Linked DNA regions of Cricetulus griseus. The protein of the gene in region 6 interacts with the protein of the main gene of each other region in a biochemical or structural test. Links are inferred from orthologs where the notes say so. Each region holds a gene or a part of one and is shown on either strand. Other genes may lie near its edges.

Region 1 (3,963 bases), on a different chromosome or scaffold from region 6:
CAGGACAGCCAGAGCTACAGAGAGAAACCCTGTCTCGAAAAACCAATAAAGGAAGGAAGGAGTTGCTTTTTACGTACAAGAATGTTATCACTGAGAAAAAAATTAGAAATTTGACACGGAGGCATTTTTCATCACATTTCAAAGAGACCTGGGCCTCCATAATGTTGTTCCTCCTCATTCTAGCATACAGAATCTGGGTGACTTGCTACAATTTTCTCTTTGGGGGATCCACCTTTGTGCTCGAAGAGAGGTGATCAACTTAGCCACCTGCTGTGTAACCTTATCAAAAAATTCTCTCCATATTTTCTTATTCTCCACGGCGTATTTCCTAAGGCTAACACGCCGGTGGCTGTGGAGAGAACATCGAGTCATGGCTTGGACGGGGCGGCCAGTCTCAAGGCTCCCTGTGCAATCTGGTAGTACTAATCCTGCCAATAAATGAAGAGTTGTGTGACCTTGGAAAAGTCCTTCTCTCTTTCAGGAAAGTAGCAGCGGGATTAGGTACTCTCTTCCGAGTCCGATGGTGACTAAACAATGTGGAAAACACGTGCCTTTAAGCGTTTATTGATCTTCGAAGCCCCAAGCGCACAGGGTACCAGATGCTGATTTGCGGCCTTGGCGGAGGAGCATCTAGAACCCGCGCGTAAACTCTCGCGAGATCTCCTCTCAGTGTCTCGCGACGTCATCCCCTCCGCGGCGTGGCTGCGCCGGCGCGTAAGGTACTCGCAGGGGCGGCCCGTATCCCTCCGCCGCCGGCCCGGCCCGGCCCTCCCTCCCAGGCCCGCCAATCCCGGAGCCTCCCGACCTGCCCCTCGGCCTGGGCCCACCCCGCGCTCTGGCGGCCCCACCCCGGCGGCGCGCCGCCCGCCGCCCGCGCGTCTCTTAGTCCACCTGCACCAGGCAGGAAAGTGAGCTTCCCCGGCTCCGTGGCCATCGGGCGCTCTGCGAGCTCGCAGCTTGGGGCTCTTCCTCCCCGGCGGAGGGATCCACGGCGGCCGAGGAGGCGGCGCTGAGCCTACGAGGAAGAGGCAGCTACGGCGGCTGTGGCAGCAGCGCATAAAGGGGCCGCCGCCGGGTGATGCGGTGACCGCTGCGGCAGGCCCAGACGCTGAGTGGGCCTCGGCCCTCAGCTCGTCGGATCCGCGCTTCGGAGCTCCCGGTCTTCTCCGGCCGACTCGCGACCGCTCGGGCGGTCTCAGGCCCCCTCGCCCCGTCCCCGTCCCTCCCCCGTCCCCGTCCCCGCCCCGGGGGCCGTCGCCACCGTTTCCCACCATGGCTCTGAAGAGAATCCACAAGGTAAGAAGCGGCCCGGGTGTTGCTGGGGGAATGGGCCGCTGGGCGAGCCCGCTGAGGAGGCTGCGGCCTGCACTTCCCGCGGTCGCCTCCACTGGGCTCGCGGCGTCTGGTTCCCGCTGCCGGCGCCGGCCCCACGGGGCGGCCTTCACACCCCACTCCCAGAGATGGCGCCCGCGAAGGCTGGAGCGCGGGGACCTTGCTTAGGCCGAAGTTGCTCTGGTCCTCGCAGTTTCCTCCCCGACGCCTTTCCAGGCCCCGCTCCGGCCTGGGACTTGCTGCTCACTAGGGCTATTGTCCGGCCTGGGAAGGGACTTGGGGGGGCGCGGAGGGGGTAGCGGCTGGGGCGTTGGGCGGCCCCTGTGGTCCGAGGTCGGGAGGACTGTTGTCCAAGCTCTGTCCCCCTACTCTGGCGCCCTTCGCTGAGCTGCCCGAGATCCAGGACCTCGACAAGCCGACCAGAGGGCTCATTTGCCCGACCCACGGGCTGTTTTCTTGAGTTCACTTAACTCTTTGGCAGCTAGCTGCACCCTTCAGTCCACCTTACTGGTCTACAGACTGGAGTAGAAAGTCAGAGGGAAGAAAATGCCACTTCGGAGGGAGAAGGGAATTAAGTGGACAAGGGTTTTATTTCGTGGGGTGGGAAACTAACACTTCAGTTTTGCAGGATTGGACCTAGTGGAACAACTGTTTACCTGATAGGGTAGAAGCCAGTCAGTTCAGAAAACCGAACGTTGAAAACCGCCAGAGAAATTGCTTTCACAGACTTCTCCCAAAATGATTTTAACGCTAAAATTAGATGGTGTATTCGAGAAGACTCCTAATTTAGAAGGGATTTTACTCTATTTTTGGGTAGAAATAGTTTTAGTTGTCTTAAGTGAAAGGTTATCCATTTATTTGTTGATAAGATTTAACACTACAAGGAGAGCATAGGCTTGGCTTAAACTTTAGGGTTTCTCACCCCCCCCCCCAATCTCTTAGTGTCACTATATTTCCTTGGACGTAAGAAGTCGCCCACTGTGAGTTTTGTTTGGTGTTTTATTTGGCTCCTCAGGTGGGCCATATTAAATCTTTACCTTATTAGTAAGTGGTGGGACCTGGGATTACCCATACGGGCTGATGAGATGGGGATACAAAGAATAGAGAAGGAAGTCAAAATGCAGATTGAAAGATGGAATACCACAGTTGAGCAATTGGCCCTCTTTATTCAAGGCTTGGAATGTGGAATTAATTCCATTCCTTACTTCGAATTAGCGCCTTACCAACTTTTGGTTTCGTTGCTTTCTTAGAAATCAACGGATAGCCTTTAGCAGTATGTCTTGTACTAAGATGAAGCAGGGTCTTTGCTAAAAGAAGTATGAACTTTAGTAAAAAAAACAAAACAAAAGAAAACCCTTGAAAAACCTTGTGAGGGATAAACATCCAAGTAATGTGTGTGTATTTTTGTTTTTGTTTTTCGAGACAGGGTTTCTATGTGTGGCAGCCCTGGTTGTCCTGGAACTCTCTTTGTAGACCAAGCCGGCCTTGAACTCACAGAGATCTACCTGCCTCCTGCTAGGATTAAAGGCACCTGCCACTGCCGCTGTGGGTGTATTTCTAAGACTTCAGCAGTCATATAATATAGGGTCTTATAGAGTCTGATGGGAAGCTATTGATTTGAAATGCTGTTTGAAATATACCTATAGAAGATTGTCCTCCAAGGCTGGGAGAGAATGTGAGTTTGATGTATAATAATTTGCATCGATAGTTTTAATTTTTTTTTTTTTTTTTTTTTAGGTAGGGTCTTCCTAGCTCTGTTGGCTTGCAGCTTACTATGGTGTAGACCAGGCCGGCCTCAAACTGTTTCTGCCTTCAGAGTGCTGAGATTAAACTAGAAAATTAATGGCTTTTAGTGTTTGTATTAATATCTGCTATAGAGACTTCTTCAGAGAGGGAGATAACACTGACTCAAAACACACATTTAAATCTTTTTTGGTTTTTCGAGACAGGGTTTCTCTGTGGCTTTGGAGCCTGTCCTGGAACTAGCTCTTGTAGACCAGGCTGGTCTCAAACTCACAGAGATCCTCCTGCCTCTGCCTCCCAAGTACTGGGATTAAAGGCATGCGCCACCACCACCTGGCTATATTTAAATCTTAGATTAACATCTGCCCCTAGCAATATCTTCTGTTTTTGAGATAGGCTGTCACTGTGTAGTTCAGGGTGGTGTTGATCCTGAGTACTGGAATTCAGGCATGTACCAGCACACCTGCCACCACTAAATCTTTTTGTATAGTACTAGGGATTGAACTCAGGATCTTAACGTATGCTAAGGCAAACACTCTGCTACTGAACTACATTCCCAGTTCTTACAAATCTTTAAAAAAGAAATCGGGTTTAGAAATGATCATTTGACATTTAAAGGGGTGTGTCTGTGTGTCGGTGTCTGTGTATGTCTCAGCCATAATCCTCGAATTAGAGGATAACTTTGTGAAGTCTATTCTTTCACCTTTTCATGGGTCCTGGGGATTGAACTTTTCTTCTTCCAGACAGGGTTTCTCCTTGACTCAGACCAGGATGGCCTTGAATTCACAGATAATCTGCCTGCTTCTGCCTCTCCAGAGCTGGGCATAAAGGCATTCGCCACTACCATATGTCTGTTTTGTTTTAATAAACTTTTTTTTAAAGATTTAT
Region 2 (3,500 bases), on a different chromosome or scaffold from region 6:
AGAAAAAGGGAAGGAAAACTCCCATGACTTCCATAAAAGTTGAAGCCAATCAATCCTCAGCTCAAACTACTCAGTCTTTTTCTAGAAACTCTGCCGTCCTGTCCAGCTCCAGATAGTCTACTACTTAGCAACTCAACATACTTCAAAGGTCTTTATCCTCCCAGATGTCCTCAAACACTGCAAAATAATGCCTATTCTCCCAAACAAAGACCCCAGTCAGTGGTCCTGGTACACCAGCCACCAGCATTGCTTGCTGTTAGCTAGTGAGACCCAGAACAATCTGGGAAGCATCCCACAGAAGTCAAAAGCATCATCATGACCAAGGATGGGCTAGGAATTGAGACTGCTGAATCCCTACTCTCTCATCTGTCTACTGAAGGACTCTCACTTTTCAAAGTGACCAGGTTTTCACATGCCAAAATACACACTCTCAGGACTAGAGACATGTTTCAGTGGGTAAGAGCAATTGCTGCTCTTGCTAAGGGCCCACAGTTTGGTTCCCAGCACCCACATCAGGCAGCTCACCACTGCCTACAACTCCAGCTCCAGAGGGTCTCAATACTCTCTTCTAGCTCCCTTGGGCACTAAGAATGCAAATGCCTGCATGAGTGTGCACACACACATTAACTTAACAAACACATTCCAAAGCAACCCTTGCTGGGGATCCTTGTCTCCATCACACAAAAGGACTACCATACATTGACATGTCTTCCAGAGAAGCTGCTAGCAGCCTCTAAAAGTTCACCTTTGGATGAAGACAATCTTTCACAACTGAACTACAATCTTCCAGAACCCCACTATATCCCAAAGTGAGCTCTTTTTCTCCCTGCTACAATCCGATTGCTGCTGTACCACTTCAACCTCCTTGGAAAGCAACGAGCCTGGCTCTCTCAAAAGCCTCTTACTGCAATGCCAAAACCATGTGGTCTGACCAAACTGCTTTGTCTGTACTTGCTTTTTTTGTGTGCAAAGAACTGCAGTCTAACACTCTACCACAGAGCTATACCACATCTCAACCTAAGATGTTCAACTTAACCGAAAGGCCAGGATGTCACTGTTGCCTCACAGCTGCATCCTGGAACAGCATGAGCAGAGATGGCCTTGGCTTGCAGCAAGTGGTGGTGATACCTAGTAGCTAAAAAGGAGGAGAGACTGGTGGGGTTGGGACACCCCCCTCATCAGCATTCCTTCAGTACTGGGCATGGCCTTTGCACAGACTCCTGCGGTCACCTCCCAACACTGCAGACACAGGAACAGGATGTGGGCAAGCACTTCCTAAACCAAACCAGTATGCCCCAAAGACAGTACATAGGGCCACAGTATTGAGAGGTGACACTGTGCTCCCCCACCCCAACAGACTTCCTCTGCCCTCTGCAGAGCTAGGCATGACCCAGAGCACTTGCTGCTAGCACCTTCTCCCTGCTCTCACAAAGATTTGAGGTTCTCAAATGAGAGGGAAAAGAAATCCCAGCACTTGGCAGGCCAAGGAAGGAGGAATTCTATAAGTTCAAGGCCGGCCTGGACTACATAAAGTTCTTGGCCAACCTGGGCTAACATGAAACCTTGCCTTAAAAAAAAAAAAGAAAGAAAGAAAGAAAGAAAGAGAGGAAAAGAAAAGGGAAAGGAAAAGGAAAAGGAAAAAGAAATGAACTGCTTGCTTTTAAGGCTAAAACTGACTCTGCTCAGAAAAAGGCAAGCTGTTGTTACCCCAAAGGCTAGCCCATTTGCCAATATAGCACCCTCCCCACTGGCTCATTCTATTTTGTGTGGAAAGCTCAAGAATTAGTCATAAATTCAACCTTGAGGCTCCATTCCAGTCCTCAGCAAAGGTTAATTTTACGCAACAACCTTGCTGGTGTCAAGCGCACATCTGCCCTGGCCTCTGCAGTGTGCCAGAAAAGGTTGCCAAAAGGCCATTTGTACACTGAGTCACCAAGCCACTGGGGTGTCGTGCAGGATGACCAGGAAGCTCACTCACCTAGAGGGCTGAGAGCAGCTGCCACACTCTCCCCCACGCTCTTCAGGAAATTGACACTGGGATCCTCTGACGGACCAGAAGCTGTTGAGTTTTACAAAAAGAAAGATGACCTTTCTGTGACTCTGCCATCTATCACAGAACTTTTGTGTCAAGGTCCCCATCACCTAGATAATCACTGTCCTGAGACCCCTTGACCGCACTTGGTGCTTCTCTTCCTTTCCACACTGCACCCTTGGTTCCCCAGTGGATCACATGTTAGGTCTCTCTGGCCTCTGTACCAGAGGCTCAGTACAGCTAATATATAAATATTGACCTTGTCCTAGATATGCTGTTTACTCAGAATCAAACAAATATTCCAGCTGGCTATTCTGGAACATGTCTGCAATCCAAGCACTCATTGAGGTTGAGGCAGGAGAATCTCAAGTTAAAGGCCATCTTGGGCTACATAGTGAGGGCCACAAAGAGACCTTGTCTCAAGAAAAAAAGAAAAATCAAGACGCTGAATCCCAAATCTAGACTGCAGAGCTAGGTGAGTTCTTGCAGGTTTTGGAGACAGGGTCTTATGCCAAGGTTGGTCTTGAATTCCTGATCATTCTGCCTCTGCCTCCTGAGTCCTGAGATTTTATATGCCACCACAAATGGCTTTATAACAATAGTTCTTTGGTTTTGTCTTTTAAAGATTTGAGCAACTTTGGCCCTGATATTCCCAAAACTAGAAACACAGCTACCTACTCATACCTCAGATGGGCAGCCTAGCAGGCAGGGTAGGTAGGGTGGGCCCTGTAGGGAAAATAGTGGCCTTAGGCACTCAGACACCTGTTTACTCACTTGTAAAATGGAAATGCATTGTGTCTACAGGGTTCTGAAGAGGCTCTGATAACATGGATAAGGACAGAGTGTAGCAGAATGATGGAACCCGTATGTATTATGTGCAAGGTCCCCTATATCCCCCAAAAAACAACAAAAAAGAAAGGGATGTGTAGTGCACAGCTTACTGTGGGCAACGCTGGACTTTAGGCTATGGGGACGACTTGGCCAACGGCCCACCTGAGTTGGCTGGCTACTTATGACACCCAAAGTCATTTCAAATACCAGCCTTACCTGACTCAGCTGTGGGGCAAGGGCGAGCATCCCCTGCTCTAGGAGGACGTGGGCTCCAGTTCCCCGGTGGACCCATCTCCCAACCAGGCCAACCAAAATGTCCATGCTTCAGCTTCCGAAGCCAGCGGCCATGAGAGAAGCCCTGGGCAGGAGAAAACAAGGCAGGGCAGTGAGGGGTAAGGGTTTTCAGGTCCCACTACCCTGTAGCCCCCAGGACTTCAAAGAACCAGCTCACATCAGAGAGGTGGCCAAAGGGGTTAGGAAAGATGAGCTTGCTGTGCTCCCTGTGTAGGCCCTTCCCCTCGCAGACACTGCACAGGTCGTAGTCTGGGCACACACTGCACTTGTAGCGAGTTCCCACCACAGGCCCGTTGCAACCATCACAAATCACATTGGGGTGCACCATGCTTCGGGATGCCTC
Region 3 (4,098 bases), on a different chromosome or scaffold from region 6:
AAGGGGAAAAAACCATTTCTGGTAATAGGGTGACATCTTAGAGAGGGAAGAATACCAAAAAAGGTTTCTCTTTGGTAAAGATAAACTGTGTTAACATTATGCCATAGAATAACTGCATATTTTAAAGATCTTTTTCCTTTTGTGAACACATTTCCTTGCGGATGTTCCCAGAGAACATCGTGATCTATCTTAAGTGTGAAGAGTGATATTCTACATTGCCATTATATTTATATCTATCGTAGAGAAATGTCTAAAAAAGAAGGCAAGTCAATAAAAAGAAAGATTTAAACTTTCGGGTAAAGCAAAAGCCATCTATCTACTCGACATGCCAGCCTCCTTGACTCTTTTAGAGATAGGACAGGAGGTGCAAGCTTTAGCCTTCCATTTTTTCTTTTATAAACCAAAAGACATCTTTGGTTCTGGAAGAGCTTTAAAAATGTGACTTCTGATAAATGTTGGCAGAACTGGTGCATGCCTAGAATAAATTCTGTATGCTCAGTGTTTCCTGCCCAAACTCATTCATAGGTTGGCTGATCACAAAACTGCCCACCACAGAATTGGCTGAAGAGAAATGTAGACATGGCACAACGTGAGCTAATATATGAGAATTTGTGGCTAGAGTCAAATCGCTAATCAAATAGACTGATGTAACAACGACTACTATGATACACATGGAGTTTGCAATTTAGATGGTTGGGTAAGGAAGCTAGAAAATCTCACACAAAAGAAAACATTATTCTTTCTCCTTCCCTTCCCACTACATTTCAGCACAAAAAATCTAGTTGCTCTTGCCTTTAAGATGACAGCGTTGCCCTGCTCTCAGTTTTCATTCTGTTCTATAAGGAAATTTGTGACTCTCTGTTCCTCCCCCCAACCCCCAAATTAGAAATAGCCTCCTGGATCTGCAAAGACTAGAGAGCACCTCCCCCCCCCCCGCGAAGTTTTATCTGGCTCAGAAGAAGAGCTGTAGGTGTAGAAAAGGCATACAAAGGGGGATTAAAAAATAAATTTAAAAAACTACAAATCTTACACCTGTAGCTAGGAAAACAGAATGAGACCAAAAGAAAATAAAAACAACCAAAAAATTCGCGCATCCAGACAGCTTCATGATCTAGGGAGTACTGCTGCGGTTCGAACCTGAGCTGCGCCTCACCCAGTAGCGAGGGTGGGCCAGCGTGTAAACTGGCTGGGATGAGAGGTACCCAAGGCGCCCCGCCCCGCCCCACCACGCCCCGCCCCGTCACGCCCCCGGGCGCCCGCGCCACAGCCAATCGGACGTGCCGGCCCCTTCCCATCGGCGACTCCACCCCGTGCCCGGGATGTTGGGCCCCCGCGGCGTGACGCGAGCACGGCGGCTCCGCCCCCTGCGTCTCTGGCCTCGCTGGCCTTGGGGGGATGGTTTCATCATGGCGTCAATGCAGGTGAGCGGAGCTGCTGCAGCGGGGCGGGCGTGGGGGCCGCCGAGACGGGGCGAGCGTCGGCGCGGGGGCGGCGTCCGGGGCCGCGGCCCAGGCTCCCGGTGGCCTTCCCTGACCCCAGAGCGTCGGGGATCACCGGTCGGCGAGCGGAGCGGGGGTGTCGGCCGGTGGCCGCGGACAGTCGCGGCCGCGAAGTTGTGGCATAAAGGCGGCTGAGGGGAAGAAAGGGCGAAGTTCGGCGTGCGCTCCGCGGTGGGGGCTCCGCTCCGCGCCCCCGCTCGAGGACGGCCGCTGCTTGGCTCCCAGGCCACGGGGGAGATGCTTTCCTCTCTCCCCTCCCCCTGCGCTCCCCGGCGGGGTGGAAACAGCTGTGCCCGCCGCCGTCGCCCGCGGTCCGAGCGGCCCGAGACTGGCAGAACGCGGGGCAGCCGGGGAGCGCCTCGCCGAGGACGGCCGCTTGCCCACGGCCCTCCGCGGCCTTTGCCCGGCCTCCCACGCGCAGCCTCGGAACGCACGGCCCTTGCTAGCTCTTCTTCGATCTTCATCCCGTGCCCCGTGGGTGCCTCCTTCTGTCAGCCCGCACTCTGGGGCATTCCCCGGCAGCCCACGTCTCCTTCGAAGCCGCCCTTCGCCCGCGTCCCCAGCGTCCTGTGCCACCCTGGGTGCGAGCTCGTGGGCCTGCTCCTCGGCCTCTGGAGAAACTCGCTCTTAATATATTTTTTTTCCCTTAGGATGCCCCACCCTTGCGGACTCGGTAAGGCTTTGCCCTTCTTCCCCAGACCTTTAAAACCTTAGTTTGGTAGAAGGTGCCTGTTAACCCGTGCCCTATCAATCTCTTGATGGTGGTTTTCTTGCCTTCCAACTTAATGTACTCCTTTTTTCCCCCTTCCAAATCCAAGAAAAAAAATCTTTTTTTTTTTTCCCCAGGCAAAGATGGCAACTACAGTTGTAGTTTGTAGAGATTGCATTATCTGTAGCTGGCGTTTAATGTACAGATAGGGTTAGCGTGTTAAAGCACATAAGGAGAGCGGGTAGAACTCTTGTGTAGAGAGTCAGCGGAACGCCTTTTGGAGTTTTACACCCTCTTGAGTAAAGAGAGAAACCACATTTTCCTTAGAAGAATTTTTGGCTTTTGTTTCTAGAAGAATAAGCAAGATCCCGTTGTTGGCGCTTCTCTGTGCTGGAAATGTTTTTCATTCTTGCGCATTTTCCCCCCTTTTCACTGTGTCTTTCAACCTGCTTTCCTTAAAATACTCTGCTTTTGCCTTTGCGTGTCCCTCTGGCTTCTCCTGCAGAACAATAAAACTGCAAGTAACATTTCTAGTTGAAGAGATGTCACGAAATGGTGCAGCAAAAACAAGAACAATTTCAGGAAACGTTATACTTTACACTCTCCCCAGAGACGTTAGAGAAGTTTCGTCATCTGAGGCCAAAAACGGAACTGTGGAGCACCAGTTGGACAGCAGATGGGCTATATGATTGCTTTAACATTTTTATCGGTATTAAGACATTGTTTATTATGACCTTTCGAAGATGAGCTGTCTTAAGATAACAGGCATGATTTAAGACTAAAAATAAAGATTAAAATCCACACACTTGGGATTGTATTTGGCGTTGGCAGGAGAGCTGGTTAACTTTTACTACACTTCAAGTATTTGGAAAAAGCAGGTTTGTATATAAGAGAGATGGATATTTGGTATTCACTCTGTGTCTTCAATAGTGGGGAAAATGCCTTTTATGCCTGATCTGAGCCTCAATCACTACCTTAGACTCTAGCACCAGGCTTTCATTCCTTTGTCTTCTGATTAGCATGGGGAACTGACCCTTTCTGTTTCAATTAAGGTTAAATCTTGGCCTTTTGTATGTATTTCAAATTATCTGATAATTTTTTTCGGGAAATAACATTTGAGGAAGATTTATTTTTATGGTGTGGGTGTGTGCATGTGAATGCAGGTGTCTGTGTAGGCCATTTCTGATTGACTGGAGCTAGAGTTGTAACAGGTGCTTTCCAGTTGCCAGATGTGTGGTGCTGGGAACCAAACCAGGCTCCTCTGCAAGAGTTGTTCTTGCTCTTAACCACTGAGTTATCTCTCCAGCTCCGTAGCAGACTCTTTGAAGGACACTTTGGTGTGTTTTCTTTTTATTTCTGTATCTTTGTACAAAGTTTATTTCCTGACCATTTTCACAGCAGGAATTAGCTCTTTTCAAAACAAACACAACAATGTAAGTAATCAAAGGTGTTCATTAACTCAGCAAGTATTTTTAGATAAGATTTCCATATCTTACTACAGGGGGTTATTATTATTGCTGAAGAAGAGATTACTTATGCTGCAGTCGGAGCTGTATTTTAAAAACAAGCCATACTGTGCACATGTAATGTGGGATTTGATCACTTGATAGCAATGGAATAATTTTTATATGCAATAAAATCAAGTTAGGGCGGTCTTTCAGTTTCTTACTAGAGGATATGAAATTTAAAGCTGAGGTTATAATTATCTGTCTGTCTGTCTGTCTATCAGTCAATCATCTTTTTGGTTTGGCTGTTCTGGAACTCACTCTGTAGGCCAGGCTGTCCTCTTAACTCAGCTGTCTGCCTGCCTCTGCCTCACAGGTGCTGGGACTAAAGGTGTGTGCCACCACTGTCCAGATTGTTTTTATGTGTTTTTTTATCTTTTTTGCT
Region 4 (3,500 bases), on a different chromosome or scaffold from region 6:
AATACGAATTATTTTTTAGTCAAAAGCCACAGCACCACTGATAGTCATTGAGTACGTGGCAGCCAGCCATTTCTTTAAGTGAGAAGGACTTAGCAGCTTGTGGCAAATGAGAGCCATTTTGGGACACCATTCCAAGAAGAACTATAGTAATCTGAATAATTATAGACAGAATCTTTCCTTTATTCACTTTATGGTAAATTCACTGCTGAAAAAAAATTTTTTTTTTTTATTTCTGAGTCAGAGTTTCTCTGTGTAATAGTTCTGGATGTCCTTGAACTCCCTTTTTGTTTAGATTTGGCCATTCACTCATTTCTCCCAATCCCAGAGTTTACTAAAAGCCAGAATGACCGAAGAGTTACTAGAGAAAACAAAACAAAAATAGTAAGCACTGAGGGTTGAGGCATCTGTTTTGTTTGTCTGGACTTCGGTTTTTGTTTAAACTCTGGTCCCTAGACATTGTACAGTCCTCTCCATGCCTATTTTAAATCTGATAAATGAAATTACCTTTCGATACAGTCAAAGCTGGTGACCACTGGGACCGCAGGATGTCAAGACAAATACTTCCATTACTGTTTATATTTGGGTGGTAGATTTTTGTCGTGAAAGCAATCTACACATAAAACAGAACAACAACAACAAAAAGGTTGATCGTCACAAGCGATGAACAAGCAGAACCAATCCACTCAAGGGAGAAATGTGCTCAACTTTACACAGCTTTGGAACAGAAACATCTACATGCAGGTCCGCTATTGGGAATTTGAAGGAGACTCAGTTTAACCTCCTTTTCTCCTCCAGGTGCTGGGACGTATCTTGGGTGTAATGAGGATGTCTGCAATCACTGGGGTGACTGGCACTTGGACCAGCTGCTCTGGCTTTCATTACACCTCCAAATACTCTTCTTAACCAGCCTGTGAGTAACACCCAGCAGGCCACCTGGATCTATAAACAGGTCACCGAGTCCGTCAGAGCAGAAGTGAGATGATCACCCGTCCTGTAAAACCCACTGAGCATCTGAATTCCGACAAGAGTCACTGTTGTGTGATGTCATCCATAGGATTTTAAACTCAGTGTTTTAAAAATGCTACAATTATTTCCATAGCAGCAAATATATGTTTGTTTTCCCTCCTTCACACCCCCCCCCCATCACTTGTTTCTTCTTTGGCCTTTAAACCTTGGAGAATGTCTTTTCATTCCCTGCTGCCATTCAGTGTGCTTCATTTGTGGTTCCCATCATGCAGGGACGTAGTGGATGGTCAATGTATGTTCACTGAACACTTCAAGAGAGAAAACAGGGTCCTCTTTGGAAGGATAACACTGTGGACAGGAAAGTCTGTCCACAGACTATAGATTCTCAGACTATAAAAACATTCCAGACTACACATATCTCATAAGGAGGAAAAGCCCATGAGCCTAACTTGTAGCCACTGCAACCTTTTGTTTAACAGGCAAAGGAAACTACTTGACTAAGAAAGAGTATTTTAGCCAGGCAGTGGTGGTGCATTCCTTTAATCCCAGCACTCAGGAGGCAGAGGCAGGAGGAGCTCTGTGAGTTCAAGGCCAGCCTGGCCTACAGATCGAACTCCAGAATAGGCTCCAAATTCCAAAGCTACACAGAGGAGCTCTGTCTCGGAAAACAAACAAACAAACAAACAAAAAACAAGAGTATTTTAGATCTGGAAGTTGTACAAAGGACCTTGTACTAGCTAACCTGTGATATCATGAGCCTGTCTCTAGACAAACAGTGAGAACCCCTGCTATGGGATGCATCAGCCACAGAAATAAATACCTTTGGTGGTTTAAAGGGATAGTCTGTCGGGAAGTGGACAGTGAGGAAGAAGACTCCGCCTTGATACGCACTGTCAGGCTGCAATGAACAACAGGCGCATCAGTGTCCGGCCACAACATGTACACAAGACTGAATGTTCCCCCCCAGGTGTTGACAGTGTGAAAGAGAGGGTCACATCTTCTATACGATGCTGTCTGATGCTTGTAAAAAATGTAATCCTTGCACCAGATGTTTGAGTAATTTACCTGAGAGCAGGCTCCTTTCCAGGAATGAAGTTTTCCGAGGTGCCCACAGAGTTTAAAGAGAAGCAGACATGCATATAACAGTATGGTTTTAACCAAACAGGTCATTTACGGGGACCAGTGTAGACACAAGGACTGCTGTGAGGAAAGGTAACTTTCTAGAGCAGTCACCAGTATTTTTTAAAGGTTATGACTAATATTTACCTTGTTTCTTTTAGATTTCCAATGTCCACTTAAATATGGCCAAAGGGAATAATTTAGTAAGAAGGTTACACACAATTTATTCTCAATATTCAATTGCTAGTACTTTATATTGTACAATGTAAAACTCTAAAACCAAGTTGGATGAATTCAGGATTCATGGTAGATTGGATTAAGTATTATCAACTTTACCAAAGGAATTCAAGTTTGGTCACCTCCTGAGTGGCCACACACACACACACACACACACACACACACACACACACACACGATTAAAGGAAAGAAAATAGTAGCAAAATAAAATACCCCAAATTCCATTTTAATTCCTTCATATTTACTGGGCTGCACCATGGGTAATAAAAGCAACTCTTGTCATTCTTTCCCTGCTTAAAGTTCTGCATAAAAATCAGAGCACTGTATTAAATAATTATTCTTACTGTGTTGCTTAATTCTAGTTTGGTAAATGTTTTAAAAAGTAAACAAACAACAAAGATAAGCATGGTAGTAAATGTAAAAAAAATAGAAACAAATTATAAAGATAAGCGTGGGCAACGCGGACAGCAAGTGCTATTATAGAGGGTGGTGGAATGTGTTTGTGGTCCAGAAATAAGAGAGGTGTGCAAAACAACGTCACAATTGCTTACTACACATGATTCACCTGAGAATTACCATGGAGGCCCCAGCTCCAACGGTGAGGCATGCCTTTAGATGACAGGACTTGGAAGGTTCAGAGCAGATAAGCAGATAATGAACACCAAGCAGAAGGAACTAGCTTCTTAGGGAAAGCTGTTAAGTAAATATATTGCATTTTCCCCTCTCACATAACAACTTAATAGAATAATTTAGTCATTTAGGATAATTCCTCAGAGACTTTTCTTTGAAATTCAGCATTTTTTTTTTTTTTTTCAGCTTGGATCCGAGGGCAAATGATTGAAAACTGCATGACTCAGTAGATAAACGGCCCCAGGGGAAGTATGTATGGCATTCAGGAAGGCTAGCGTGTTCTCATCCAGAAAGGAGACTGGAGTAGATAGAGTATCTGCCTACTCGTTCACAATTAGCATTTCGTCCATAGAAAGAAAAGCCTGTTTCAAACCATCGATGCTCCTCAGGTGTAGGAAGAAATACAGACAACAAAGAGGGGCCAGTTTAAGGCAGCTCAGAAAACTCAAAAGGTGACAAAGACCACCCACAACGGGACTCCTTCACTTCTGCAGTCAAGAGTCACAACGAGACCCATTGCAAGCTGATGTTGGCCCAGTGTAGCAACT
Region 5 (3,500 bases), on a different chromosome or scaffold from region 6:
CAATTTTTCCCTTTCCAGCACTCCCTCAAATACCTTTGGAAAGTCCCTCCATTGGGAAATATGAAGATCATTTATTCTAGAAAAAATGCTTAGCCACATACTTGTAAAGGGAAGTGTGGGCCTCCCTTACCTTACTTGGTAGCTAATTGGTAGAGGCACATGTCACCAAGCTTGACAACCTGAGTTCTGTCTCTGGAGCCCCAGCCGTAGGAGGAGAGAACCAGTTCCCTTAAGTTGTCCTCTGATGCCCCAGGCATGCATGCCACAGAGAGGAGGGTGTGCATACATGTACATGAGCACACACATATGTGTGCAAATAAATAGATGTAATTTTAAAAATGTAGCCATGTACATGTGTGTATATTTTACATTTCAAATAAATGTGATGTGTACAAAGTGACACTAGTTCAGAACCCTGGTTTTATCCTTTACCAAAACATGAGAGATGGCTCAGAGGTTAAGAGCACTGGCTGCTCTTCCAGAGGACCTGGGTTTGATTCTCAGTACCCACATCAGGCAGCTCACAGAAGTCACATGTCTGTCCACACACACGTGTAGTTGAAAATAAGTCTTTTAAAATGAGGTTAAAGAAGGGTAGATGCAATAATCTACCCTTCTTTATGAGGGTAAAGATGAGGTAAAGAAGGGTAAAAGCAATAATCAAGGTGAGACAGAGGTCAACAGTGCTGCCTGTAGAACTGGGACACGAGCTGATGAGTGGCCTTGCTGGAGGTGTCCTTTCACCTCTGTTTAGGCAGCACCAGACACATACTGTGTTTTATTTCATGCTAAGGGGACTCACTGCCGCTGAGCTAAACCCCTAACCACACAGACCATTCACAAACCTGTCGGCATACTCACCGTTATTTCAACAAGTATGCAGTTGTAAAGTGAGGTTACAGATGTAAACTGGGTATTTGCCACTGAGTGACATAAAGGACATCTTAAAATGGCATTTACAGGCATTCCAAAGTCCGGCAGAAGAGTGAAGTGGACATTGTTGTCAGTGAAGATTTGAATGGAACAGTGAAGTTTTCCAGCTCTTTACCCTTCCCCAATAATCTTAACAGGTATGGCCACCGGGCATTCGTGTCCTGTTTATTTTTCTTCTCTTTAGAAATACAGGTTTGAGGTGACATCTGATACATTTGTTTGTTTTAGTTGTATATGCTTGAGAGACTGGTACCTGTGGAAGCCAGAAGAGGGATCAGATCCCCTGAAACTGGAGTTGTAGACAGTTGTGAGCTGCCATGTGTGGATCATGGGAACCAAACCTAGGTCCTAGGCAAGAGCAGCCAGTGCTGTTAACCACCGAGCTATCTTCAGACCCTTTGATAACGTTTGAATGGATAACAGAATACCATCCTATGATTGAGCACTTGACCAATCCAGATCAACTTCAGACATAGAATGGATTCTTGTATCTGGTCTCCCTAGAATCTTTTTGTTGTTAATTGGTTGGTTGGTTTTTGCTATGGAGATGAAATCCATGTCTTCATTTATGCAGTGCAAGTGCTCTACCAGTGAGCTTCATTCCCAAACCATCTCTTTGCTAAATTCACATAGCAATTTACTTGTATATCTTATTGTTTTCAAGGGAAGCTAAGACAAGAACTCAAAGCAGGAACCCAGAGTAGAAACTGAAACAGAACCATGGAGGATACTGCTTATTCCCTTGTTCCCTCTGGCTTACTCAGCCTGCACTCTCTCTCTCTCTCTCTCTCTCTCTCTCTCTCTCTCTCTCTCTCTCTCTCTCTCTCCTCCCCTCCCTTCAGGGTTTATAGCCCTAGCTGTCTGTCTCTGTCTGTCTCTGTCTCTGTCTCTCTCTCTCTGTCTCTCTCTCTGTCTCTCTCTCTCTGTCTCTCTCTCTCTCTGTCTCTCTCTCTCTCCTCCCCTCCCTTCAGGTGTATAGCCCTAGCTGTCCTGGAACTCACTTTGTAGACCAGACTGTCCTTAAACTCAAAGATCTTCTTGCCTCTGCCTCCTGAGTGCTGGAATTAAAGGTGTGTACCGCCACCCCCAACTCAACCTGCTTTCTTATACAGCCCAGGTCCCCCTGTTTAGGGAATGGCACTGCCCACAGTAGGCTAGCCCCCATAACCCCCACTGTATCAATTAACAAGTAAGAAAATGGCTCATAGATATGGCTACCAGCCAACCTTTTCAAGGCAGTTCATTTAAGGTTCCCTTTTCCCGGGTGACCCTGGGTTTGACATTGGCAGCTGAAACTATGACAGATATCTACTTTGAAGTATATCCACTTCAGCATAGAGTTTGTCTTATTCCACAGGAAGTCATTTAAGGGTAGGGATTATACCTTATTCCTCTTTGTGTTCCTTGTCTGGCCTAAACAAACAAACCTTTAAGGTTTGAATGGCACTGTGGTCTAGGCTTAGAGCTAGAATATAAGCACTTAATTAGTGAATCAGAATTGGGTCATAATATAAAAGAAAACTCCAGGTTGGTGACTTTACTCACATATTTGGGGACAGGGGAGGGAGCCCTATGGATTACAGCAGTGTGGAGTAACATTGGCTGTGCTATAGTTGCAGGGAGGAGGGATGGGAAGAGTTAGAGAAGACATGGACAGATGAAGGAGAGCTGGTTCAACAGGGAGGATTATAGAGGCACACGGGGTTGCCCCTAAGGGGGCAGTGTGGAAGCAGCATGGAGCCTAAGTGGGCAGGGTGGAGCACAGGAGCCTAGTGTGGGACAGCAGGAGGATTTTGAACATTGGCATGTACATATCCATTAGATGCTCTTAAATCAGCAAGCAGCTCAGGGTCCAGACCAGGGCTACTTAAAACTTCTGCTTGGAGCCCAGCATGATAAAGCACACCTTTAATCCCAGCACTGGGGAGGGAGAGGCAGAGGCAAGAGGATCTCTGTGAGCTCAAGGCCAGCCTAGTCTCCATAGTGAGTATCCAGGACAGTCAGCATCCAGGACTACATAGTGAGACCCTGTCTCAAAAACAAAAAACAAAAAACAAAAACAAAAACAAAATCTTGCATTTGGGATAACTTTGTGCCCAAGAAATGTTCATATTACCCCAGATATGTAAATATAGACTATATAAAGTATATATAAATATATAAAAGTATATGAAGTATATATAAACAAAGTATATAAATAAAACATCTACTGATAATAAATTATAAAGAAATTTATTCATTTTTAAATTTTTTGGTGTATATAGTTTTACCATTAAAGACAAGTATTAGATCTTATTAAAGACAGATATTAAATACATAGATATTAAATTTATATATTAATATGATTAATGAAATATGTATGCTTCTATTTTTACATGAAAAGTTAAATCTTTTTTTTTTTTTTTTTTTTTGTTTTTCGAGACAGGGTTTCTCTGTGTAGCTTTGGAGCCTATCCTGGCACTCACTCTGGAGACCAGACTGGCCTCAAACTCACAGAGATCCGCCTGCCTCTGCCTCCCGAGTGCTGGGATTAAAGGCGTGCGCCACCAACACCTGGCTGAGTTAAA
Region 6 (4,271 bases):
CGCCTGGTGGGCCTTTGGCTGAAAAAAAAAATCTCTCTTAAATAGGACTAGAAATTTCAAAGTATTTGATATTTTATGTTTCCTAAATATAATAAATGTCAAAGGAAAATTCAACCAATGCTTTTTAGCGCAAGTATAATACAGTTGATGCTCACAATCTCAACTCCCTTCATTGGTACAGCACCTACCTAGACATCTAAGGAATAAATTTCTCACCCCAGACCATCTGAGAAGAGGGGAGCAAAATTGGAAGATAGAGAGATGGGAAAAGAGTATAATTAAAGTACACTGTATAATTAATATATGCTAATTAAAACAATGACAGGATCTTTCACCCCAGATTTTATTTTTTGTTTTGTTTTTCTTTTTATTTTAATTAGAAAGAAAATTATTTTACATGTCAATCCCAGGTCCCTTTCCCTCCCCTCTGCCTCTCACCCCCCCACCCCACAACTAACACCCTACCTATCCCATACCCTTTCTGCTCCCAAGGGAGTGTGAGGCCTTTCATAGGGGGTCTTCAAAGTCTGTCTTATTCTTTGGGATAGGGCCTGGGCCAACCCCCTTGTGTCTAGGCTCAGGGAGTATTCCTCCATGTGGGATGGGCTCCTAAAGTCCATTCCTATGGTAGCAATAAGTACTGATGCACTGCAAGAGGTCCCATAGATTTCCAAGGTCTCCTCACTGACACCACGTTCAGGGGCTCTGGATCAATCCCATGCTGGTTTCCCAGCTATCAGTCTGGGGACCAGGAGCTCTGCCTTGTTCAGGTCAACTGTTTCTGTGGGTTTTACCATTCTGGTATGGACCCCTTTGGCAGGGAGGTTGAGTTGAGGGAAGAACAGAAGAGAGCAAGATAAGAGATAATATAATAGAGGGAGACATAGGTTTAAAGAGAAATCAGGCACTAGGGAAATGTCTGGAGAGCTACAAAGATGACAACAACTAACAATCTAAGCAAAAGAGGAGAGGCTACCTTAAATGCCCTCCCCTGATAATGAGATTGATGACTAACTTGTATTCCATCCTATAGCCTTCATCCAGCAGCTGGTGGAAGTAGAAGCAGACAGCCACAGCTAAACCTTGAACTGAACTGAAATCCAGTTGCAGAGAAGGAGGACTGATCACCCCAGATTTTAAAGAACTACCAGTCTTGTGAGAAGGAATCCATTACTGGATGGAGCAAGCAGATAGTGAATCCTCTCCTTCCGGACCCCTTCTCCCAGATGCTCCCAGGTGTGAGGTGAAGACCCTTGTCAAAGGCAACACATCGATATCGTGTAGATTACATTGTTAAATAAGACCAGGAGGCCTCAGAGAGAACGAAGGCAGCAAGGCAGTTTCCTCCACCTGTGCCTGCGGCTAGCAGGCTAGCAGTCGGCAGCTTCTAGCACCTTTGACCTCTCTCTCACACGCTCCACCCAGTCTCCGCCTTCTCTGCTTGAGTCCTCCCCTAGCCGTTCAACTCTCCGCTCCTCCCCTTGCTCCTCCCGCTTCCTTCTAGACTAGCCTCTGAGAGGAAACTGAAAGTGAAATTTAGGGAGCAGGCTTGTGAAAGCCACACTGGGAGCTCACCCGTAGCCCATGCTGAGGACCCTGCTAAGGTGAGTGAGGCTGGGATCCCCGACCCACCTAGGAGTGCTCTCTCCTCCGCCCCTTCCCACCTGCGACTCCCACCCGAACCTGCCGGCGCACCTGCTGCTTCTTTTCAGCAGTGTTCTCTAGTTCCAGCCCTGGCTGGCTGCCCACACAGGCCTGTGGAAGCGGGGCTCTGAAAGTGACTTTCCCGGTGCCCTGCCTGGAAGGGGCTGTTTAGTGACTGGTGCCTGAGCTGAGACGAGGGGGCTAGTAAAGGTGGGAAAAGCAGGCTGTGAGCTAGCCCAGAGGGGAGCTCAGGGAAACTCCTGTCCCTTGAAGACCTCTGCTGGAGGTGAGTACTAGCCATTTAGAATGCTCTACTGAAAATTTATGTAGATTTAAGACTCTCAGCGCCCTAAAGGAAGTTAAGACAGGTACTAGGTTTGGATAGTCTTAGAGAAAAGCCTGGCAACTGCTCTCCACAAATGTGTATGGATAAGTACACATATTCACATATGTACATAAACATTCATATAGGAGAACATGTGGACACACCTACATTGATGCATTTGTGCTCAAGTATATTTTATAAATAAGAACATATTAGGATAAAAAACAGCTATGTATATATATGTATATACATAAATACATACACATGCAACCCTAATGACTGGGAAATGTACCCTTAGATGATGCCATAATGAACACACACCTTGAAGTATACTTCCATGAACCTATGATATAGCCTATTATTCATCATCATATTTGACCAAAATATCTCATGTAACGAATAACTTCGTAAACCTTTGACTCCTTACTCCTGCAGTTATTGTCAAGATTAATGAAGACGGACATAAGCAATGTAGCACCCAGTTGGAATATGGAGGGTGCTTGGTAAATATGGCATATGGTAAATGGTCACTCTCCGCGCCATGGAGGCGCAAGATGAGAGAAAGTGTGTGAGAGAAGTCTGGACACTGAGGGTTAAAGCAGGGATGGATATGATGAGCTGGAATTATTAACAGCATTATCCCCGCCACTTTCCAATGTTTCTTCTGGAAACTCAGTTTCCCCTTCTGCCTGACTAGATCAATGGGTCAGACTAGGGAGGAGAGGCTGCTGTTGTGCAGGTTGATACTCTTGCCTTCATTTGTTTCCTTCTCCTGTGTCATTTTCTCACATGTTTTCCTTTGCATTGTTTTGGGAACTTTTGGTATTGTCTTGCTTTTGCTTTTGTCATGCAAACTTTCATTTATCTCTTCCCTCCTCCTCTGCACTCAAAATCCTCCAAGATGGCTCTGGAAAAGATGTGGGAAAATGTCATCTGCTCTATCTGTCTGGACTCCATGGTGGAGCCTATGAGTATCGAATGTGGCCATTGCTTCTGCAAGGAATGCATTTCTGAGGTCGGGAAAAATGGTGGCGGTATATGTCCCGAGTGCCGGCAACAGTTTCTGCTCAGAAACCTCAGGCCCATTCGACGTATAGCCAACATGGTAGAAGACCTTAAACAAACAGCCGGGGATGCCAATAAGGACACCCAGGAAGACCGCTGCATGAAGCATGGAGAGAAACTTCTAGTGTTCTGTGAGGAAGATGGGCAGGCCCTTTGCTGGGTGTGTGCCCAGTCTGGGAAACACCTTGACCACACCAAGGTCCCTATTGAAGAAGCTGCTCGGGTATACCAGGTGAGGCTCTAGCACAGAGACACCCATAGATATAAAGAAGGTGCTCCATGAAGAATGCTCCGCTCCCCAGCATAGTGACTGAGAGTCATCCTTACAGGGGAATGGAGGGTAGTTTCTCATTGAGAGGAACTTGTGCATCAAATACAAGCTTATTTCTCAGGAGCCGAGACTATGCCGTGGGATGTGCGTGGATTATGCTTCCTCTGGCTTCCTGGTGAATTAGAAATGTAATGACCAGATCCCATTCCCCATCAGTGTCGCTCTGTTTTGTAAGACATACTAGGTTTCCCCCAAAGTCTTCCCATTCCCCTCTTCCACATCTCTATCTGGGGACTAACCTACCACCTTTTTCTACAGGAGAAGCTCCTCGTGGCTTTAGAAAAACTGAGGAAAGGGAAAGAATTCGCCGAGAAGCTGGAAATGGATCTTGCAATGCAAAGAACAGACTGGAAGGCAAGAACCCGGGGATAGGCTGGGTCCCAGGTCTTGATCTCAAGCAAGCATTAACTATGACTGTGCCTATCCAAGGGGTGGGAGAATTGTTATATAGGTCACTCCCCAAGGACCATCCACACTATATCTCTAGACAGAGAAGAATTTAAGAAAGAAAGAAGGAAGGAAGCTTAAAATCAGATGAGATTTCCCCCAATCTGTCACAAAGTTCAAGAATTACTGCAGAAAGTCTAAGAAGGTCACACCATCCCTTCTGACCCTGTCTCGGTGAATGACGGTCTTGTGATAACAGGTCTGAGGTATCCTGTGAGAAAATCCCAACTCCTGCACCCTTTAGACATGACAAAGAGGGGAGGGAACAGCCGGAAAGGATCTATGTAAGTCTGAGGTAGGAGGCCCACCTGACTCGGTGGCTGCTTAATGATGACCAGGCTATTAGTGCAAAGCCTGGTAAAGAATTAAAGTCTGTCGCATTGGTAATTTGCCAGGAGAAAAAAGGATACATCTGAAATTGACAAGGAGTGTAAGGGGCTCAGAGCAATCACAGACCCC
Region 7 (3,345 bases), on a different chromosome or scaffold from region 6:
GAGGGATAAAAGCACAGGAAACTGAAGAGCTGATAATCCCTTGTTAAGCCTGTTGCTTGGGATTTGTTCACTGGGTCTACAAGGAGGATTCAAAACTGCCTCCACAAACCTCAACTGGTTTCCTAATGGCACAAACAATCAGGTTTTCAGACAAGAACCAAGTCATAACTTACAATCTGAGGCTCAAATGTGGACATGTGAAAGTCCCGTATAAGGACATCTACCTGTCCTTTTTATTTTGACCGTTGGGTGTGATCAACTTTCAAACATTATGGCAAGACACCAATGATCACCTAATTAAATCAGGTAACATTTATTTAAAATTTCTAGGAGGGAAAAAAAAAAAAAAAAAAAAAACAGATACTGATGCTTCATGCATGCTCCGAGCCAGTTTATAAATACTCACTCAGTAAAATCCTAACACAAATCTGCATCAATGAAACAAACTGGTGAAATTCTCCTCTTGCCAATCAATTTGTCAGATGGAGAGGACCAAAACAGAATGTTCCATCAGTTTTAATTTTAAATACGATTGTCACATTGGGAAAGTGAAATAAACACAGTAAAATAAACTGTACAAAGGCAAAGTAGAATAACAAAAAATATTTTACTAAAACATAAGATTTACAGAAGTTTCCAGACAAGCCATACAAAATGGTCACAAGCTTTTTTCTTCTTTTGGGGGTGGGGCAGAGAATCTACACTTAACAGCAAAGTCACAATGTTATTAGTGAGGGCTGTGATGTTTATTTAATGTTCCCATTTTGGTTCAGACAATCAAGCTTGTCCATCTACAGCGTCTAAAGTTAGACTTGGCTAGAGAGCATATTCTAAAAAACTGGTTAGCTGCATTTAACCACGGCAATTAGATCCCAAAAGAGAGGGAGGGGGAAAGGAGACCATAAAATTAAAATAAAACTATTTTCCCCCTAAAAAATAAAATAAAAACACCCATACCCCTGGGCAGCTAACCCTGACAACTACCTTCATTCACAGTGCTTTGTACTTAAACCATGATGGGGAAACGAATCCAAGCAGAGTCACTGCTTTTAAACATTTCACAACAACCCAGATGATACTTCTAGCCTCTGCTCATGCTTTACAACAGTGAATCAGGACAAGACATAGATTTGCTAATGTGCATGTAATCACCAAAGATGAAGATGTCTGGGCTTTTATTCTGTAATGTTTCTAAGACTGTGTCCATTAAATGCAAACAAAAAAAGGAAGAGTCTTGGCAGAACAGGAGAAGTGATGTACACTTGATGATCTGATCGACTTAAATATTATTCATGGCATATAGCCTAGTCCATGCTCTCGCTGTAGGTAAAAACAAACATGCAACTGTTAGTTAACTCAGATTTCTTTTCAAAACCATAAACAACAAATAAACACATTTTGTGGAAATGCTAAGCTACACATACCCTCCTAAATTCACAATATCTCCTATAAACTGGATCAGATCACTTTTCTGAATATCTCATTACTAAAACAGTACAGCTGATTAGAAAGAGGTCTTGGTTTTTCTAAGGTTCGCACTATTTTGACCAGAATAGATTCAAACCTTTCATAAAATTCAACAAATGGAGATGGTTGTGTCTTTCACTTCTGAATAGACAATAACGTTCCTCATTTTGTTGTAACTGTCACAGGAAGAAGTTTGTGGATTCTATACTCTACAAACTGCTATGTACTTTAAATGAACCATAAAGACAGTATAAAACAATTTCAAGTTTTCTAGTCTCTTCACACACTGCTCATAAGCAGACAGTCATTGTTAGATCCATGTAGATCTAACCCACAGTGCAAGATCTCCTTTTCTAGATTACTTTTAATCTGAGCTCATAAAAAAAAGGGGGGGGTAAAGATTGTTTAGAAAAAAAGCAGGTAAAAGAATATGAAGTACCTGTTTCTATGGCTTGGGCTTCATTGGTCTTCCACTGCTCGGCTACATCATTTGCTAACGGATCATCTGGATTAGGAGCACTTAACAAAGCCTGGATTGATAGCAGAACTGTGCGAATCTGCAGTGCTGGGGACCACTTATCTATGAAGGTAACAGGCCCAGTATGATATGATAAAGCATGAAAAACAGGCCCAGAATGGTTGAACTTCCCTCCCACACACTGGTGTTAACATGAGATTACAATATTTACATTCTAAATATGGAATGCTTAAGACAGAAAGGACACATTAAGTGACAACACTTACCTTTCAAAATATCTAAACATATTCTTCCCAACTTGTCTACATTAGGATGATAAATTTTGGTCATGAAACGTACTTTAGGTGCTGCCATTGGGTATTCTTCTGGAAGGAATAGTTCAAGTTTAAAAGTCCCTCCCTCAAAGGGGGAATCCTGGGGGCCAGCAATGACCACATGAAAATAACGGGCGTTGCTCTCATCTGGTTCTGCTTTAATGCCAGGAACTGGTTCTGCCAGCAAACGCTGGGTTTCCTACAACAGAAAAATAAACACACTTGTGAAACAAATGTCATTTCACTAAACACCAAAGTTAAAATCAGATCTTTTTTAATTAGACATAAAAGAATCTCCCAGTGATAATTTAGCTAATCAAATGTAAAACTCGAAAAATGTTTATTTGACCTCCAAATAATGCCAAAATATGGCACACAAACATCCCCTTCACAAATAATAAATGCTTTAAAAAAAAAACTGTTTATGATGGGCATGGTGGTGCATGCCTTTAATTCCAACACTTGGGAGGCAGATGAAGATGTATCTCTGTGGCTTTGAGACCAGCCTTGTCTGCACAGTGAGTTCCAGGACAGCCAGGGCTATGTAGGGAGAACCTCTCAAAAGATATAGGGATGGGTGGGTGGGTGGGTGGATGGATGATACTGACAGACAGACATAATTATATTCATGTAAAAGGAAAGAAAAATGACACCAGGATTGCTGCAATACATTCTTTGTATTCAAGGGCAAACTAGGTCTAAAATACTAGGACATCAAAATCTCTGGATGCTCAAGTCTCTTACATAAAATAGTACAGTATTTATTTGTATTTAAAGTACAGAAATCTTCCTGTATATTTCAAACCATCTCTAGATGACTTGTAGTGCCTAATACAATGTGAGTGTTACAGACGGGCGTTGGTGGCTGTAAATCCCAGCACTTGGGAGGCAGAGGCAGGTGGATCTCTGTGAGTTCGAGACCAGCCTGGTCTACAAGAGCAAGTTACAGGACAGCCTCTAAAGCCACAGAGAAACCCTGTCTCGAAAAGCCAAAAACAAACAAAAAACAATGTGAATGTTTCGTACCTAAGACACAAATTAAGCACACACTTTCCTCTCATAGGATTTTTCCACCTGCTAACTATA

The links.
Region 1: the proteins of Trim21 (region 6) and Ube2d2 form a complex in vitro, tested with the Homo sapiens proteins (10 studies listed by BioGRID). The link is inferred for Cricetulus griseus from reciprocal best matches to the Homo sapiens genes TRIM21 and UBE2D2.
Region 2: the proteins of Trim21 (region 6) and Sqstm1 form a complex in vitro, tested with the Homo sapiens proteins (2 studies listed by BioGRID, with this or other methods). The link is inferred for Cricetulus griseus from reciprocal best matches to the Homo sapiens genes TRIM21 and SQSTM1.
Region 3: the proteins of Trim21 (region 6) and Ube2w are reported together in a solved structure, tested with the Homo sapiens proteins (2 studies listed by BioGRID, with this or other methods). The link is inferred for Cricetulus griseus from reciprocal best matches to the Homo sapiens genes TRIM21 and UBE2W.
Region 4: the proteins of Trim21 (region 6) and Ube2d1 form a complex in vitro, tested with the Homo sapiens proteins (3 studies listed by BioGRID). The link is inferred for Cricetulus griseus from reciprocal best matches to the Homo sapiens genes TRIM21 and UBE2D1.
Region 5: of the proteins of Trim21 (region 6) and Ikbkb, one has a biochemical effect on the other in vitro, tested with the Homo sapiens proteins (2 studies listed by BioGRID). The link is inferred for Cricetulus griseus from reciprocal best matches to the Homo sapiens genes TRIM21 and IKBKB.
Region 7: the proteins of Trim21 (region 6) and Ube2n form a complex in vitro, tested with the Homo sapiens proteins (3 studies listed by BioGRID, with this or other methods). The link is inferred for Cricetulus griseus from reciprocal best matches to the Homo sapiens genes TRIM21 and UBE2N.

What each region holds. Positions count from the first base shown.
Region 1 is NC_048595.1:201,744,477-201,748,439, reverse strand, and holds the start of Ube2d2 (ubiquitin-conjugating enzyme E2 D2), read left to right. Parts: upstream 1-1,163; 5' UTR 1,164-1,272; coding exon 1,273-1,296; intron 1,297-3,963.
Region 2 is NC_048600.1:64,663,554-64,667,053, forward strand, and holds part of Sqstm1 (sequestosome-1), read right to left. Parts: coding exon 3,315-3,500; intron 3,222-3,314; coding exon 3,080-3,221; intron 2,060-3,079; coding exon 1,979-2,059; intron 1-1,978. UniProt on the Homo sapiens protein: Molecular adapter required for selective macroautophagy (aggrephagy) by acting as a bridge between polyubiquitinated proteins and autophagosomes.
Region 3 is NC_048595.1:144,389,840-144,393,937, forward strand, and holds the start of Ube2w (ubiquitin-conjugating enzyme E2 W), read left to right. Parts: upstream 1-1,298; 5' UTR 1,299-1,319; coding exon 1,320-1,421; intron 1,422-4,098. UniProt on the Homo sapiens protein: Accepts ubiquitin from the E1 complex and catalyzes its covalent attachment to other proteins.
Region 4 is NW_023276806.1:266,581,901-266,585,400, reverse strand, and holds part of Ube2d1 (ubiquitin-conjugating enzyme E2 D1), read right to left. Parts: intron 1,865-3,500; coding exon 1,787-1,864; intron 611-1,786; coding exon 505-610; intron 1-504.
Region 5 is NW_023276807.1:61,017,970-61,021,469, forward strand, and holds part of Ikbkb (inhibitor of nuclear factor kappa-B kinase subunit beta), read left to right. Parts: intron 1-962; coding exon 963-1,070; intron 1,071-3,500.
Region 6 is NC_048596.1:96,819,911-96,824,181, forward strand, and holds the start of Trim21 (E3 ubiquitin-protein ligase TRIM21), read left to right. Parts: upstream 1-1,471; 5' UTR 1,472-1,604; intron 1,605-2,870; coding exon 2,871-3,266; intron 3,267-3,623; coding exon 3,624-3,719; intron 3,720-4,271. UniProt on the Homo sapiens protein: E3 ubiquitin-protein ligase whose activity is dependent on E2 enzymes, UBE2D1, UBE2D2, UBE2E1 and UBE2E2.
Region 7 is NW_023276806.1:161,533,208-161,536,552, reverse strand, and holds the end of Ube2n (ubiquitin-conjugating enzyme E2 N), read right to left. Parts: intron 2,459-3,345; coding exon 2,212-2,458; intron 2,048-2,211; coding exon 1,907-2,047; intron 1,321-1,906; coding exon 1,280-1,320; 3' UTR 501-1,279; downstream 1-500. UniProt on the Homo sapiens protein: The UBE2V1-UBE2N and UBE2V2-UBE2N heterodimers catalyze the synthesis of non-canonical 'Lys-63'-linked polyubiquitin chains. This type of polyubiquitination does not lead to protein degradation by the proteasome.